3 linked regions of the Yarrowia lipolytica genome follow. The protein of the gene in region 1 interacts with the protein of each later gene in a biochemical or structural test. Links are inferred from orthologs where the notes say so. Each region holds a gene or a part of one and is shown in the gene's direction. Other genes may lie near its edges.

The links. The genes of interacting proteins can lie anywhere in the genome.
Region 2: of the proteins of YALI1_D33418g (region 1) and YALI1_B17927g, one has a biochemical effect on the other in vitro, tested with the Saccharomyces cerevisiae proteins (2 studies listed by BioGRID). The link is inferred for Yarrowia lipolytica from reciprocal best matches to the Saccharomyces cerevisiae genes PHO85 and VIP1.
Region 3: of the proteins of YALI1_D33418g (region 1) and YALI1_D01739g, one has a biochemical effect on the other in vitro, tested with the Saccharomyces cerevisiae proteins (2 studies listed by BioGRID). The link is inferred for Yarrowia lipolytica from reciprocal best matches to the Saccharomyces cerevisiae genes PHO85 and CRZ1.

What each region holds. Positions count from the first base shown.
Region 1 is NC_090773.1:3,339,124-3,343,444, reverse strand, and holds YALI1_D33418g (uncharacterized protein), read left to right. Parts: upstream 1-1,727; coding exon 1,728-2,612; downstream 2,613-4,321. Other genes in the region: YALI1_D33428g (uncharacterized protein), read right to left, coding at 1-737; YALI1_D33397g (uncharacterized protein), read right to left, coding at 3,359-3,546, 3,601-3,757.
Region 2 is NC_090771.1:1,790,241-1,796,382, forward strand, and holds YALI1_B17927g (uncharacterized protein), read left to right. Parts: upstream 1-2,513; coding exon 2,514-5,210; downstream 5,211-6,142. Other genes in the region: YALI1_B17908g (uncharacterized protein), read right to left, coding at 1-573, 624-722; YALI1_B17964g (uncharacterized protein), read right to left, coding at 5,380-6,142. UniProt on the Saccharomyces cerevisiae protein: Bifunctional inositol kinase that acts in concert with the IP6K kinases to synthesize the diphosphate group-containing inositol pyrophosphates diphosphoinositol pentakisphosphate, PP-InsP5, and bis-diphosphoinositol tetrakisphosphate, (PP)2-InsP4.
Region 3 is NC_090773.1:171,396-176,681, forward strand, and holds YALI1_D01739g (uncharacterized protein), read left to right. Parts: upstream 1-2,593; coding exon 2,594-4,354; downstream 4,355-5,286. Other genes in the region: YALI1_D01713g (uncharacterized protein), read right to left, coding at 30-155. UniProt on the Saccharomyces cerevisiae protein: Involved in the regulation of calcium ion homeostasis. Binds to the calcineurin-dependent response element. Transcriptionally regulates PMC1, PMR1, PMR2A and FKS2.

The sequences.
Region 1 (4,321 bases):
TGATGCACCCGTTTCTTGTAGCCTGCCTTTTGACCCGACGAGTGGCGGAACACAGTGTGGAGAAGATGCAGGGCAATTCGACCGCATCGTTCCTCCTGCTCGGCCGAGAGCTCGTGGTCGGTATACTTTTCGTAGTAGACGGAGATGGCACTTCCGTCAAAGTACAGCAATACGGCCTTGACACAGGGCAGGTAGTAGGGACACGACTTGGGATGGTCGTGGTGCGAAATGTAGGAAATGGCGATTTTGGCGCCCTCGGACGTTTCTTTGCCGTCAGAGTCCCACAACGGCTTGTCCGAGTGGACGATGCATGTTTGGTTGACGGAAAAGTCGTTCTGGGGGTTTCGGGGGATGATTCGACGAACAATGACTCGTTTGACTGGACAGGGAGTCACCTCGACTTGTCGGGGCTCGTAATCCTGCAGATTCGGAGGAACTGGAGTGTTCTTGTCCTTGTCTGTATCCTTCTTGTCGTCGTCGACAGGTCCTTCATGGGTATCGAAAATGAACCCTTCATTGGCCTTGTCCGTGCCCATGATGTTCGGCATCATGTTGAGCGAGTCAGAAATGATATCGGCTCTCATGATCACCGACGAGTTGATGTTGGGCTGGCTGATCACGTTGAGCATGGCCTCGAGAAAGTGCTGGGCCCCAAAGTCGACCGGGTGCGACAGATACGGCGTCCATTGTGTGCCGACCGCGGACGGCTCGCCGCTGATATCGGTGGGTGTGAACATGGCGTGACTGGTAGAGGGTCAAACGGGTCGCTATTGTTTTTCTGTCTGATTTGATTTTCCATTGTGATGCACGGCGAAAAGTTAATGCGCCAGGGGGACATGAAGGAAGAGCAAACGGGGGACTCTGTGGGTGTTGGAGTGGGAATTGTGAAGAAATAATTACATAAATATGATTGCAATCGGACGAGAAATCCACTGGAATTTCAAATGTCCAATTCGACCCACTTTTGAGCATTTCAAGCCACCCCTCACCACTCACCCCGCCTAGAGTCACCGCCGCCGCACAACCGAACAGGAAAGACAGGTTATGACTCATTCGTGGGGGAAAGAGAAAGAAGAGGACCATTGAGTCATCCGAAACATACAACTCAAACCGGATCTTTAGGGATCAGATGTCACGTGGGCCGAAACCCGACCTTGGAATATTGTTCTATGTTGTCGAGTAATCCGTTAAGTAAATAGTGAATATTAGTTGGATTTGATGGGGGTACAGGACGACTCTGTAAGTAGGGTTGAAATGGATCCAGAAACACGCGGAGAATTGGAATCACGTGAGAAGCAACTACAGTACCATTTGGCGTGAATTTGGACTCAAATAAGTCCTTATTTTATCATCTACAATGAACCATTCTCCTACCTCCGCTGACTCATAGTTCAAGTAATTTTATACTTCTTGACACGTGATGGTGCATTTGGTGAAAAATGGATCTGGATTTCGGCGGTCCAGTTTGAGAGCAATTTAGAGCTGTGGGGGTATATATATATATATATATATATAGATGTGCTTGGGGTCTTGTTTTTTCCCTTCTTGTTTTCTCTTCTTTTTTACCACTCGGACCCTTTTGTCCGTCTCCTGTGGTTTTCCCCCTTTGCTCACGGTTTGCTCTACTGCTTGTCCCAACCAGCTCCATGCACGTCGTCAACATCTAAAACTCAAGTACAGCTGCCAACTGAGTCGTCACCACACACAGTCGTCCACCACCACCACCAATGAACACGTCATCGCAATTCCAGCAGCTGGAGAAGCTCGGAGAAGGCACGTACGCCACGGTGTACAAGGGCCGCAACCGAACCACGGGCCAGCTTGTGGCGCTCAAGGAAATTAACCTGGACAGTGAAGAGGGCACGCCTTCCACGGCCATCCGAGAAATCTCGCTGATGAAGGAGCTTAAGCACGAAAACATTGTGACGCTGTACGACGTGATCCACACGGAAAACAAGCTGAATCTGGTGTTTGAGTACATGGACAAGGATCTCAAAAAGTTCATGGACACCAATGGCAACAAGGGCGCGCTGGAGACCAAGCAGGTCAAGTGGTTCATGTACCAGCTACTCCGTGGCATTCTCTTCTGCCACGACAACCGGGTTCTACACAGAGACCTCAAGCCCCAGAACCTGCTCATCAACGCCAAGGGACAGCTCAAGCTGGCTGACTTTGGTCTGGCCCGAGCGTTTGGAATCCCCGTTAACACCTTTTCCAACGAGGTCGTGACGCTGTGGTACCGGGCTCCGGATGTGCTCCTTGGATCCAGAACCTACTCCACCTCCATCGACATCTGGTCTGCAGGCTGCATCATGGCCGAGATGTTCACTGGCCGGCCTCTGTTCCCCGGATCTTCCAACGACGACCAGCTGCAACACATTTTCAAGCTCATGGGCACGCCCAACGAGAGCACGTGGCCCAATATCTCGTCGCTGCCCAATTACCGATCCAACTTCCAGGTCTATGCTCCCCAGGACCTCCGAGTCATCATCCCCCAGATTGATAACGTGGCGCTAGATCTGCTCTTGTCGCTGCTGCAGCTCAAGCCGGAGAACCGAATCACGGCTAGACAGAGTCTTGAGCATCCTTGGTTTGCCGAGTACCATCAGTAAGCTGCATCAACCGCAAAACCTGTGGGAGCATGGGTTCAAGTATCATTGCTTCCTGCCAGTGCCGGCACTAGGTGCCGTTAAAGCACCACTGGAAGACCGACCCAACTACTGTTACTGGATCTTCACAGGCTAAAGAATTAACAAGGAGGAGGATAGCACTAATAGATTGTCGTGTTTGAGTGGTGCAATAGTCTGAAGTTGTATTGGAGAGGAATGGGCCGTATTAAAATAGTGAAGAGAGATCGCCGTACTATTTAATAGCCATGTAACACTCCAGGATCTACCGGAAAAACGAGTCACGCGATACACACGAGTTGAACATGAAAGTCACGTGAATTGCACGTGACTTGAACTTACATTCATGTCTGTACCATATGTACAGTATGTACATACATTCGCTATCTAAAACATCTCGGTCTTATGTAGCCTCTATTTATTTGATTCATGTCATAACTGGTATCATCTGAATCCCCACGTGATCAGGACTGTGACGAAATTTGTTACACAATAATAGGATCATTATTGACTGAGTGAGATGGTTGTTCATTTGTGACTCAACAAACCCAACTATATATCAAGTAAATATGGTGAAGATACAGGAAGATTAAACAACGGGGAAACCGGTGGTATGCAGAAAAAAAAGTGGTAGAAACAGAAACTGCGCTTTCAGAGTATCATTTTGATTAGGAAGATTTGTCCGATCACCTGATATTCTCTATGGAACGAATAGGAGTCGCTTACATGAGTCACGTGCACATAATATGACGTTGTCGAGAGGAGGATGTTGGGTCCAGGCTGGGTGCATGGTGAATTTGGGTGCACTTTGGTGGTAGCTGTGAGATCATGTGCATTGTCTCTATGAGGTCACGTGACTGATTCCAATCACATGGCGTTGCCTGCCACGGCGGCCGTGTTCGTGTGATGGACTTGTATACTTGACTATGGCCATCGATGTGGTTTGGGTTCAATTTTTCAAGTAATTGTCAACTAAATTGTGTTGTGATTATTGAAAGATCATAAAAAACAGAGCACATCAACAGTGAGAGCAAGAGTGATTGGGTAGTGCGAGACCAAGACCGAAGTCGGAGTTTTGAAGCCTCAGAAAAGTTTGTGACAAGTTTTCCGCATTTCAGTCTTGCGACCATTGCTAGGACTTGCAGATGTTTGTTTCATCATCGACCATGGACCAATACGACCAATACTCTACAGTCTACAGCTCCTCTTGAGTAATGACAATTACCTATCTAGACTGGGTTAGTTGTGTTTACAGAACCACGACTTGCTTCTGGTAAGGGTCAGGTTATTGTTGCGTTGTTAGGAAGGTTATCAGCATTGCAGAGCTCTGAGTGAGCTGAGTAAGTGTTTCATCATCAAATGATGGGCTTCCTGGAGTACTCACCTTGTGCTATGATGGGGAGAAGTGGTGTTCGGCGGTGCAATTTTTATACATGGGCTCTACTGCAGGGTAAGTTGTGGGAGAGGGTTGGGTGGGATGAGTCGTACGCTCAGAGGATATCACAGACTGGACAGGTAGGGTTATGTAAGGTTGTCGGTTCGATTACGGCCAGTGAGTGAGTGAGTAGTGAGTGAGCGAGTACAAGTCGAGTAAATTACGAGTTGTGTTGATATATTGGAAACTTGTATGAGTACGGTCTTCAACGGTCTCGGCCTCCTACAGTCTCCTACCGACCCTCCCGTTTTCTACCGCC
Region 2 (6,142 bases), on another chromosome or scaffold:
TCCAATCTCGTTGGTGGAGAAAACAACTTTGCCTGTTCGAATATTCACCAGCAATAGAGACCGTCGAGTTGCCACCACAATCTTGTTGAGGTAGGTGGGGGGATGGATGATGGAGTGCGCAGCTCCCACAGAGTTGGCGAGAGTCACGGTGGTGTAATACTCAAACGGAGGGTCCAGCTCGTCTCTATCTTCCTCCTCGTCCTCGTCGTCAGACTGCTCCTCCTTCTTCTGGCCTCGCTTGAAGACAAAGATCTGTGAGCTGTTGATGGCCACCAGGTTCTCTCCGAAAGATCGCACACACACTAGCTTGTCCTTGGTGTCGCACTCCAGCTTGTACAGTAGCTTACCACGGAAGTAGACGCCAATACAGTTGTCCCAGGTGGCATAAACGTAGGGTCGGTGGAAATGAAGCGACTGGATGGGCGCGGGGGTCTGAGGAGAGGTTACAAACATGAGATGGAGCGTCGAAACATCGTAGATCTGAACGGCTCGGCCCACACTGCATGCAACCAGGAAGTTTCGGCCGAAAGATGACACGGAAATAGGTGTGGAGTTGGCAACATGTCCAATAGTCTGTGTTAGTTTGGTGATGTTGGGTGTAGTGATGGGGGTGTAGTACTCACTCTGAAAGGCGTGAAGATCTTAGAGGGGGTTCCGACAAGTCTGTCACGCACAGTGACCTCGTCAGACTCCACTCTTCGCTTTTTTTCAATCGCAGGCATCGTTTTAGAGCGGGTGTCGGAACGCTATGATTTGTGTGATGCAGCTTGGAAAAAAATATTTGGGTCGTGCATGCCAGAAGTTTATTTGGATGGGTCATAATCTGTACAGTATATGAGGATATGTAAGAAGTTAGGATGAGATGCAGAAATGATAGTAGAAGTATACCGAGAGTATTCTTCGTGTTCTTTTTTAGTGATAGTGGAAATAACTGGTTCTGTTTATATTTTCAAGTTGGGCGATAGAGTTCGGTTTCAAGTGAAGGGAAATTTTTGTTGGATTTTTAGTTGGTACTTGAAGGACTGTCTATGAAAAATGTACGTACGTACTATAAAAATAAGTACTACTTGTGGTGGTGTTTATAAAATACAATAAAATAAAATAAAATAAAATAATGCTCCTCTTTGTGCAGCTCTGTAGCATTGTTAGCATCAGTAGTGGACACTCGACTCTGAAACATCCGAAAGGCTTTATATATATAATATATATATATATATATATTATATAATATATATATTCTACAAGTAGCACATAGAGCACTCAAAGTACAAATAAGTACATACTGTATATCATACTGTATGGTACTTACAGTGCTCTGTCTCACTACAAGTGTGCTCGTAACAATTACTTCTAAGTAAGACGTGCAAAACTATATCGGAAGATCCAAATTGGAACGACTGGTGGAAACGATTAATAACAACGGGATGTGTGCGACCCAGCAACTTGAGATGCCGACACTGTCTATATAGAGCCCTCCTTCTACACCACTGTAACATTTGGCCTTGCGCTCACGATACGTCTGTCTTCTTTGCATGTGAGCGGCAACGAAACTTTGGCTCCACAATAGCGAGCACGTGGATAGATACAATGGAGTAGATTGAGGGGACTGTAAAGCCACTATTGTGGGGTATTATAGTAGGTGGGAGTTTATTGAATTGGAGACAGACTGAGAATTGGTCATTCTATATCTCAATCTGTCGATATCACCCAGTATATATCGGCTTAAGGTCTTCTGTGCTATGCTATATCAACCCACCAAACAAGGCGAAGCTGCTGCATAGACGATCGAGCTGTGGAGACGGTATCGTACAGTAGATAACCGGAAGAACTCAGATGGGGGTGGCTTGCCAAGAGTATACGTCACTCACTCATAAAACAAAAGAATAACTACAAGTGGTCTAATCAATTTTACCACTCCAAAAACAGCCAGAGAACATTTCCCAATCAGCTGCTTGTAGCTCCAGTCCAGTAGAATGGCTCGCTGCACCACGCTGCCTATGCATCTGGTGTTAGCCAAAACCATAAGCAGCGAACAGCACAAACGGGAGTATTAAAAGTTGTTTTACCAGAGACCGATGTCGGATCTTAAAAGGTCAATCGCTGTAAAACTTCCTTTGAAATCGATTTCTTTTTTTTTCATCTTTCTACCCCCTCTCCTTGTCATCCAAACTCCACCCCAGAATCATTGCTTCGATATTCCCAATTGTCGAGCGCAGCATTAGTCTGAACCCTAAAGCTGATCTCGTCGACATCGGGTCTACCTCTCACACATCTTCACACCACCCACCACACCCCCCCCCGTGGAAAAATGTTCAGAACCGTCTCCGACCGTGTCGGCCTCGGCCCCCGCATCCTCGTACGAGCCCTCGGACTCGTCCATCTCCACGTCGTCAATAAAGGCTGCTGTTGAGGGCCGAGCCCGACGGTCCTCTTCCTTCTCTAGCATCAGAGCTGCCTCTGGTACCCCCGACCTGTCCAACCTTCCCAAGATTGGCAAAATTGGTGTCTGTGCGATGGACGTCAAGGCCCGATCCAAGCCATGTCGGCACATTCTCAACAGGCTGCTGGACACGGGCGAATTTGAAACCGTTGTCTTTGGAGACAAGGTGATTTTGGACGAGCCCATTGAGAACTGGCCCACGTGTGACTTTCTCATTTCCTTCTTCTCATCCGGTTTTCCCCTCGAAAAGGCCATTTCCTACGTCAAGCTACGAAAACCCTTCCTCGTCAATGACCTCATTCTGCAAAAAGTGCTGTGGGACCGACGTATCGTGCTTGACCTGCTCGACTCGGCCAATGTTCAAACCCCTCCTCGTCTCATTTGCACCCGAGACGGAGGCGCAAAGGCCGACCCTGACCTGGCCAAGAAGCTGGCCGAACACAATGTCATCCTGACTCCCCAGCCCAAGTCCGAATGTCACATGGTTGACGAGGATACCGTCATGGTGGATGGCAAGACCATGACGAAGCCGTTCGTCGAGAAGCCCGTGGATGGAGAAGACCACAACATCTACGTCTACTACCCCAAGTCGTCGGGAGGAGGAGGTCGACGACTATTCCGAAAGGTCGGCAACAAGAGTTCAGAATTTGACCAGGATCTCTGTGAAGTCCGGATGGACGGCTCGTACATTTACGAGAAGTTTATGGACACCGAAAACAAGGAGGATGTCAAGGCGTACACTGTTGGAGCCCATTACTGTCACGCTGAGACCCGAAAGTCCCCCGTTGTCGACGGTATTGTCAGACGGAACACATATGGCAAGGAGCTGCGGTTTGTGACCAAGCTGACTGACGAGGAGATCAAGTTTGCCAGCAAGGTCTCTCAGACCTTTGAGCAGACTATTTGCGGTTTTGATCTGCTGCGTGCCCAAGGTGAGTCGTATGTCATTGATGTTAACGGTTTCTCTTTCGTCAAGGACAACCACGAATATTACGACAACTGCGCCCGAATTCTGCGACAGATCTTCCTGCAGGCTAAGCAGCAGCGAAACAAGGACCGAGCCATCGCTAACACTGCTCCTCAGCCCGAGAAGCACCAGTCCTGGGTTCTCAAGGGCCAGGCTATTGTGATTCGACACGCAGACCGAACCCCCAAGCAGAAGATCAAGGTCTCATTTAAGCATCCTCTCTTCATTGATCTACTGAAGGGTCACAAGGAGGAGGTTCTTTACCGAGAGAAGGATCGTCTGATGGAGGTGCTTGAGACTACTCGACGGGCCACAAGGGAGGCTACTGACGAGGATCCTCAGAAGATGGCTAACCTGATCATTGCTCTGGAGAAGAAGATGGATTTCCCCGGAACCAAGGTCCAGATCAAGCCCACAATCAATAAGAGCACCGGCGAGGTTGAGAAGGTGCAACTAGTGGCCAAGTGGGGAGGAGAACCCACTCATTCGGCTCGATACCAGGCCCAGGACATGGGTGACCAGATGCGTCAGGATCTCATGATTGTCAACAAGAACCTGCTCAAGAATGTCAAGTGTCTCTCATCTTCTGAACGACGAGTCATTGCCAGTGCCAAGATTTGGGCAGCTGCCTTCCTAGGTGTTGAGGAGGTCTCTGACGACTTCATTGTTGTTCGAAAGGGTCTTCTTGATGATTCCAACGCCGCCAAGGACCTCATGGACAAGGTCAAGAAGGAGCTTAAGCCTCTTCTGCGAAAGGGAACCCCACCTCCCCCTCATTTCACCTGGCCCGACAAGATTCCCGAGCCCTTCATTGTGTTGCAGCGGGTCGTCGAGCTCATGAAGTACCACCACAAGGTCATGGAGAGAAACTTCAACAACCACACTCCCGAGGAGGTTGAAGCCTTTCAGACTCGATGGTGTTGCCAGGAGACCCCTTTCTTGTTCCGAGAGCGATGGGATAAGCTTTTCTCCGAGTTCACTTCGCCCGACAAGGTCGACCCTTCTCGAATCTCCGAGCTATATGACGCTATGAAGTTCGATGCACTGCATAACCGACAGTTCCTCGAGCGAATCTTCAAGCCCGATGAGAGTGTCGAAATTGCTCCCCCTTCGTGCCACATCCCTAACGTCTCTGCTCCCGAGCTGTCTTCTCTTGGAAAGACTCCTCTTGTTACGCCTACAAGTGACGACGAAACCAAAACATCTTCCAACGGCAAGTCGCCCCAGCAGACTTTCTATGGCCCCCAGTACGTGCATCTTCGAGAGCTGTACCGACTGGCCAAGATTCTGTTTGACTTCATTTGTCCCCAGGAGTACGGTATCGAGGACAAGGAGAAGCTGGACATTGGTCTGCTGACGTGTCTGCCTCTGCTCAAGGAGATTCTGTCCGAGCTCAACGAGATGAAGCAGGCCGAGACTGGAGGTGTGATTGCTTACTTCACCAAGGAATCTCACATCTACACCCTGCTCAACATCATCTACGAGTCCGGCATCAACACCCGAATCGCCCGAAACGTGATTCCCGAGCTGGACTACCTAACCCAGATTGTTTTTGAGCTATATGAGAGTGTAGAGGCGGATGAGTATGGCGAGAAGAAGTACTCCATTCGACTGTCAATCTCGCCTGGATGCAACACCCAGTCTCCTCTGGATGTTCAGCTGGACTCAAAGCACTGCATCTCTTGTATTCCACGAGTCGGTCTCACTCGACATTTGGACCTGGATCTGGTCATTGGCAAGCTGCAGACTCGTTTCAACCGGGTGTCCATGCCTTCCAAGTTTATTCCCGTCAACATTTCTTAAACGAGCCTCAGAGTTGTTTTTTGCCCTTGAGCTTCTTATTACTTACGTTGATGTTAGATTAACTGTATATTAAGTGCATTTTTTATTGTGTGAGTGCTCCTGTGTAGTAATAAGTAAGATCGTATAAATAATTGACTCACTACATCTATGCCTTGTCTTCCTTCTTGCCTTACTCCTTCAGCGTCTTTTCCTTCTCTTCCCTCTCCTCCGCTGCAGCTGCCTTTCTCTCCTTTCGATGAATACCAAATCCATTGTACGCCACAGCCCAAGCTTCGCCCTTGGACAGTTTATCAGGAATCTCGATCATCTCCCACTCACACTTCAGGTCTTTTTCAGACTGTAGTATCGTGCTCAGAGCAGGGTACTTCTGCTTGAACTCGTCATCTCCAAACCGAGTGTCATAGGATCCGAGATAGTTGGCCACAATGAAGTCTGCATTGATGAAGAGCAGTTCATTGACGTTCACAGGTGCATGAGGTGCGTAGATGAAAGACTCTGTCGGCTGAAGTTTCACCTCGGAAATGCTTTTGGTCAGATCTTCGATGTCACCAGATTCTGCGGCTATGTCTGTTGTGTCTTCCATGTCAGCCTTTTGTGTATCTGATTTCACAGATTTTGTTTCCTCCTCTACATCCTTCGTTCTGAAATCAGGATCCCACATCCCTGTCACGGTCTTCATTCCTAACAGCTTGAGCATTTCCTCATCTCGAGCCGTGAACATAGGTTCTGTACAGACTACCTTGTCCAGAGGGATCTTGAGCTCTTCGGCCAGCAAAAGCAACAATACCAGCTGGTATCGCACTCCTTCGTCCTCTGCAGGCTTGCCCAATGCCAGACATTGGATATCTGCAAACTCCTTGGTGCTGTGTTTCTCTAGAGTCTGTTGGAGATGGGTTTGGAAGAAGTCGTAGAACTTGGACCGCTTGACATCT
Region 3 (5,286 bases), about 3.2 Mb from region 1:
CTGGTTGTCTCCACTCAAGTCTAATTAACCTCTCTTTGAATTACGACCGTTATGCTCAACACATGTTCCGGAAATAGAACAGCAAGGCTATGATGAAACCGGGAACTACTTCCTATAAAGAGTTGATCTTGGCTTGGATTGGGTGTGGTTGGCATTGCCCGATGTCGCTATGGACCGAAAACGCGCAAGGAGCTTGGCTGGAGTATGTAAGGGTAGTGGTACGATACGTTGAAGACATACAGTACAGTTATGTATCATCATGTATGAGCATCAAGGGGCAGAGCCGTTATCAAAGGGGGCGGCATATATGTCCGTGAGATTCTAAGACGGCGTCTACGGGCTGCATCAGGTCATGTGGATGGTTGCTCCTATTAGCGGCGAATGGCATTGTTCTAGGGCCTGTCTCGAGGTCTATGTCTCAGAAACTATCGGTATGACGACGGTCCATGACGATGCTGCGCTGAGACTGCAATTTACTCTTTACGGGCGCTTAGCACCCATTGGGTTGTCGATCTGGGGTTATTACGATTGCCAGGGCGACCTTACCTTGTTCGAGGTAACATCTGATTGTGTGAGTATGGGGCTGTGTTTGATAGTGCGCCTGTATCGACTGCGGTCGGTTAACCTGTAAGGTACAGGCACACTGGGGTTGCCCAGTTTTATGAAACCGAGTCGTCCGTATGAAACGGCATGTTCTTTTTGCAGTGAAATATCGCACACGGCGGAATGCGGAATGCAGAATGCGCAATTGGCGGACAAGATCGGTGAAGAATATGAAGCTATAGTAGGTACAGCAGGTACAGCAAGATGCAACGGAATCGTGTGTTGATTCATATTAAACGTCAGCTCACTTGTCGTCTCCAGTCGATCTCACCATCAAAGTGCCCACCCTTTCTCTCCATCTCAGCTGCTGTGAGGAAAAAGCAATAACTCCAGCAACAGTTCAGCCCGGTGCTTAGATCCATACATGCGGAGAGCACAGGCTGAGTCTGCCGAAACTCTGAGGCGAGCTAGAAACAAGGCGCAATTAAAAATAGCGGAGTAGCGTTGGCTTCGTGTTACAGAATGGCCCAACCCAATGGCGTTCAAGCTCCCATTTCCACCCCCTCAGTTGCTTCCAACACTCTTCCACACATGACAATAGACGAGGTAGAAACAAGCTAAGCTACTGTATGTACCAGTGCTCGTACTGAGAATGACACAGAAGTAATATCTGTCGCTGGTGCCATCCTTTGACATAGGCACCCGTTGAGCCGACTGGTCCCTGTCATGTGACGTGGTACCAACCTCTCGGTAACCATGGCTAGAACGCCTGCAGAGTGCCATCACCAATTCTGACTAAACGCCAAGCTCCGGAGCCAAGAAATGACGAGCACAAATTGTCCGAGTTTGCGACCCCAAGACGAGCGGTCATTAATTTAGCCGCGGTGGAGAGTGTCATGACACGGTTTGGAGCATTAGATTAGGCGCAATGAACGTTACGAATATTGACTAACGACCGACGTTACGGTAGCTACTGTACCCCAACTACTACATCAGACTTCTAGGTTGACAACTGATGGTTTCTAGAAGACGTTAAGTGGAGTCGGTGACACATGTAGGCGGTATGACGACACCATTTCATCGGATCCGAGCCTGTGGACCTTTTACTCGCCAATTGTTAGAGTCGCTTTTCCGTGCTTCTAGGACGTCTATTGTCCTGTCGTCAATCTCAACCCTATATGCCCCCTCCCTCAACGTTGTATGGCTTCCACACGTAATCGTTGCACTCTGTTTGCACCCTTTTCCGGGCTTTCCTTGTTCGTCTGGCTTAGTGATTCTTGCTAATTTGCTCACCCCCACACAAGACGGCCAAGACGGGTCCCCAAGGTCACATGGCTCTATTGTGCCTCTATTGTGCGTTAGTCCATCCCTACACCACGATTGTGCCTGACCATCTTGCAGGAAATTGAGTATCTCAGCATCAGCATTCACAGCGGAGAAGAACACACATCACAGGCATCAGCAGCGGCTGTTTGTGTGGCCGTTGCATCCCACCTCCCCTGCGGCACATCTTTTTGTTTCATTTAATGGCTTGTCCGCAACACCTGTTGCACAGCCCTGGCTTTCAGGAACATGTATGGAAGCTGGGCTGTGTGCGTAAGTCTTGCCTTAACTCCGGTTCTGATGTTTTTAGAATTTTTTTTTTTTTTCCGTGTTTCCTGGGAGTCTAAAAATAACACACGTAGCAACGCTGCGAACAACACAGCACGGCTGCGAATAATCCAGTATGGACGGAGAGAGGCGTGCTAGGGGAGGGTCACGTGACACCACACAAGGGGCGAGACATGCAAAAGCACGCACGCCAACGGGCCCGCAAATACCCAAAAAAAACAAGCCAGAATCTCTATTTCAAAACCTACATTGATATCGTACTTGTATTCAAAAGCTACACTTCCGCGCCCCCCCAAATACCATTTTGGATTTAAGGTTCAAGGTCGCGACCCGACACTAAGTCGCATTAAACTACTCACACACCAGGGTCCAAAAAACATCGACGCCACGGAAGAAAGACGTGCCTGGGATTCCCGTGTATATATAAGTCGCTGCCGCCATGTCAAATACCGGAGATCCTCTTCAAGAGGTCTTTGAGTCATTCGACCCCAAAGATTACTATCTGTTCGACACCTCCACCAACCCCACAAAACAGCAACAGGACCCCAACTCGATACAACCGCACCAGCAACCGCCGCTTTCTGGTCTCCCACACAACGTCAACACCTCGGGCTTTGACGACTCCACTTCCATAATCAACGCAAACACCCCCTCCCCGCTTCAGGCAGGCTCCGTGTCTCCACAACCCCAGCAGATGGACTTTCTGTCCCCCCAGGATTTCCGTTTCGCCTCCTTCGACGACCCCCAGTCTTTTCTGAATCCCTACGACCTCCAGACACAGCCGGCCACCGACTTTCTGTTACCCATCTCGCAGCCTGGACACCACCGAGCCAACTCGCACTCCTCAGACACCTCGGCGGCTCCCTCCCCGCAGCAGTTTCATTCCCCGTACGCCGCGTCTCCTGTCAACCCCGACGAATACGCCGCAGAAATGGCAGGATTGCCCGAACTGACCTACGGACTCGATCTCAACGGCTCGCAAAGCATGAACCAGATGAATATGGCAGTATCACCTATGGCTATGGGAATGCCGGATCAGATGAACCAGATGAACCATCAGCAAAACAATCTGAATCCGCCCATCCAGATGAACCACAGCAACAGTCACACCGGCCTGTCTGACCTCAACAACGCTAGCCAGGGTAACCACAATATCAACAATAACAACGGCAACGGCAACAGCAACAGTAGCCACACCCCCGGTGTTGCGCTGTCGCCCTCGCTGCTGACCCCAAACATGCTGTCTCCAAACAGCTCACAGCAGTCGTACTCGTCGTCGCCGCAGACGTCCCAGGGCTCCATCTCGTCGCAGAGCCATCAGTCTATCCCCATGCTCAATGTGGAGCCTCCACGTGACGACCCGTCCCGCCGACGTGCTCACTCCGACGCCTCGCACTACTCGGACCGGTCGTCGACGCCCTACGAGGTACCCACGCTCTTCCCCCACGCCACCTCGTCGCCGTCGTCGCAGGACCCCGCTGACTTGCTGTCTCCCGGCGACGCAGCAAGCATACAGACGCGTCGAAGCCGTAGCCGCTCGTCGTCGACGTCTTCGGACGTGCGGACTCGTGACCAGTCTCACTCGCCCTCCCGATCGCCCAGCCAAGGCGGAGGCAACCGTTCGCGCTCAAACTCTCACTCGCGAGACTACATTCTCGAGCTGGCGGCTCCCACGTCCAACAACAAGCGTGTGCAGAAACACCCCTCCACTTTTGCGTGCCATCTGTGTGACAAACGGTTCACCAGATCGTACAACCTGCGGTCTCATTTGCGAACTCATACTGATGAACGTCCATTTGTGTGCACTGTCTGTGGCAAGGCGTTTGCGCGTCAACACGACCGAAAACGACACGAGGCTCTTCATTCTGGAGAGAAGAAGTACCAGTGTCAGGGAGTATTGGCAGACGGGCAAACTCCGTGGGGTTGTGGACGCAAGTTTGCGCGTGCAGACGCTCTGGGACGACATTTCAAGACCGAAGCCGGTCGGGAGTGTATCCGGCTGCTGCTGGAAGAAGAGGCCAACGAAAAACAGGCGCTTTCGGGCCAGCAGGTTCCCTATCCTGGCGATGGAGTTCCTTCCTTGACTTTTAGTCCGCCTGCTGAGCCTCAGAACGAGCCCCGGCCTCAGCAGCCCGTCATTTTCCCGGCCGCTCTGCTCCAAAAATACCCCGTGTTGCTGAACCACTTGAACGAGGACTAATTGAGGTCTTTCTGTGGTATTGTTCAGCTGATGTTACTTTTAGATCCTCCTAGTGGGGTGCTATTTATTGTATATGTATTCTACATTCGTTTCTACTCTGTGTGGTAATTACTATTTGTACCGCTACAAGTACTTGTAATTAGTGGTCTGCATAGTTGTGATAGTGCGAGGTCATCGCATGAGTGAATTGTATCGACGATAAAATTATGCTATAAATATCCATTCTCGATCTACAAGTAGCTAGTGCATGACCGTTGAGAATGTGGAGATGACCGTTAGTGTGGGGGGATGGGGCCATTGTCGATCAGTCGATCTACAAGTAGTCGGCTCGATTCGGTGCAGGAGCTGGGTGGTTACTACAGCAGATCACGGTTACAAGTACGAGCATTGGAGTCTATGGATCTACAATAATATCGTTAATTAATAAGATGTGAGATAATGAAACTCAATCAGTTGAGAAATGGAAGAGGTGAAAAAGAGCGTGGCGGTATTTGTGTGAAGGGTATGGTGAGAAATGGTTTGGATATGGCTTCTTCTGTCTGAGTGTGATTTTTTGACCTCCCCACGGAAGTAGATATCAGGTTTTAGACTGCACCGGAAGTGAGTATACAGCATCTGCTACAAGTGGCACAGTAATACCTGTACATGTACTGTACTTTTAGTGTATCTTGAAACACGATCAGGACCTACTTGTACTTGTAAGACTGTCTGTCTAATTCTTTCACAATGTACGTAACTCTGGTCAAATCACATATGCTTACAACAGGAGCCTCGTTGTTGTGAGATTGTCATGTGGTGAACTACAAGTAAAAAGGCATGTTGCATTAGCATGTGTATCGTTTGGGTAGTTCGTAATTTTTGTCAAGATGAGTGGTTGAGAAGCATCTCAGTCGTATGGATATGACTTCACATGAATTTGTGTATATCAGATC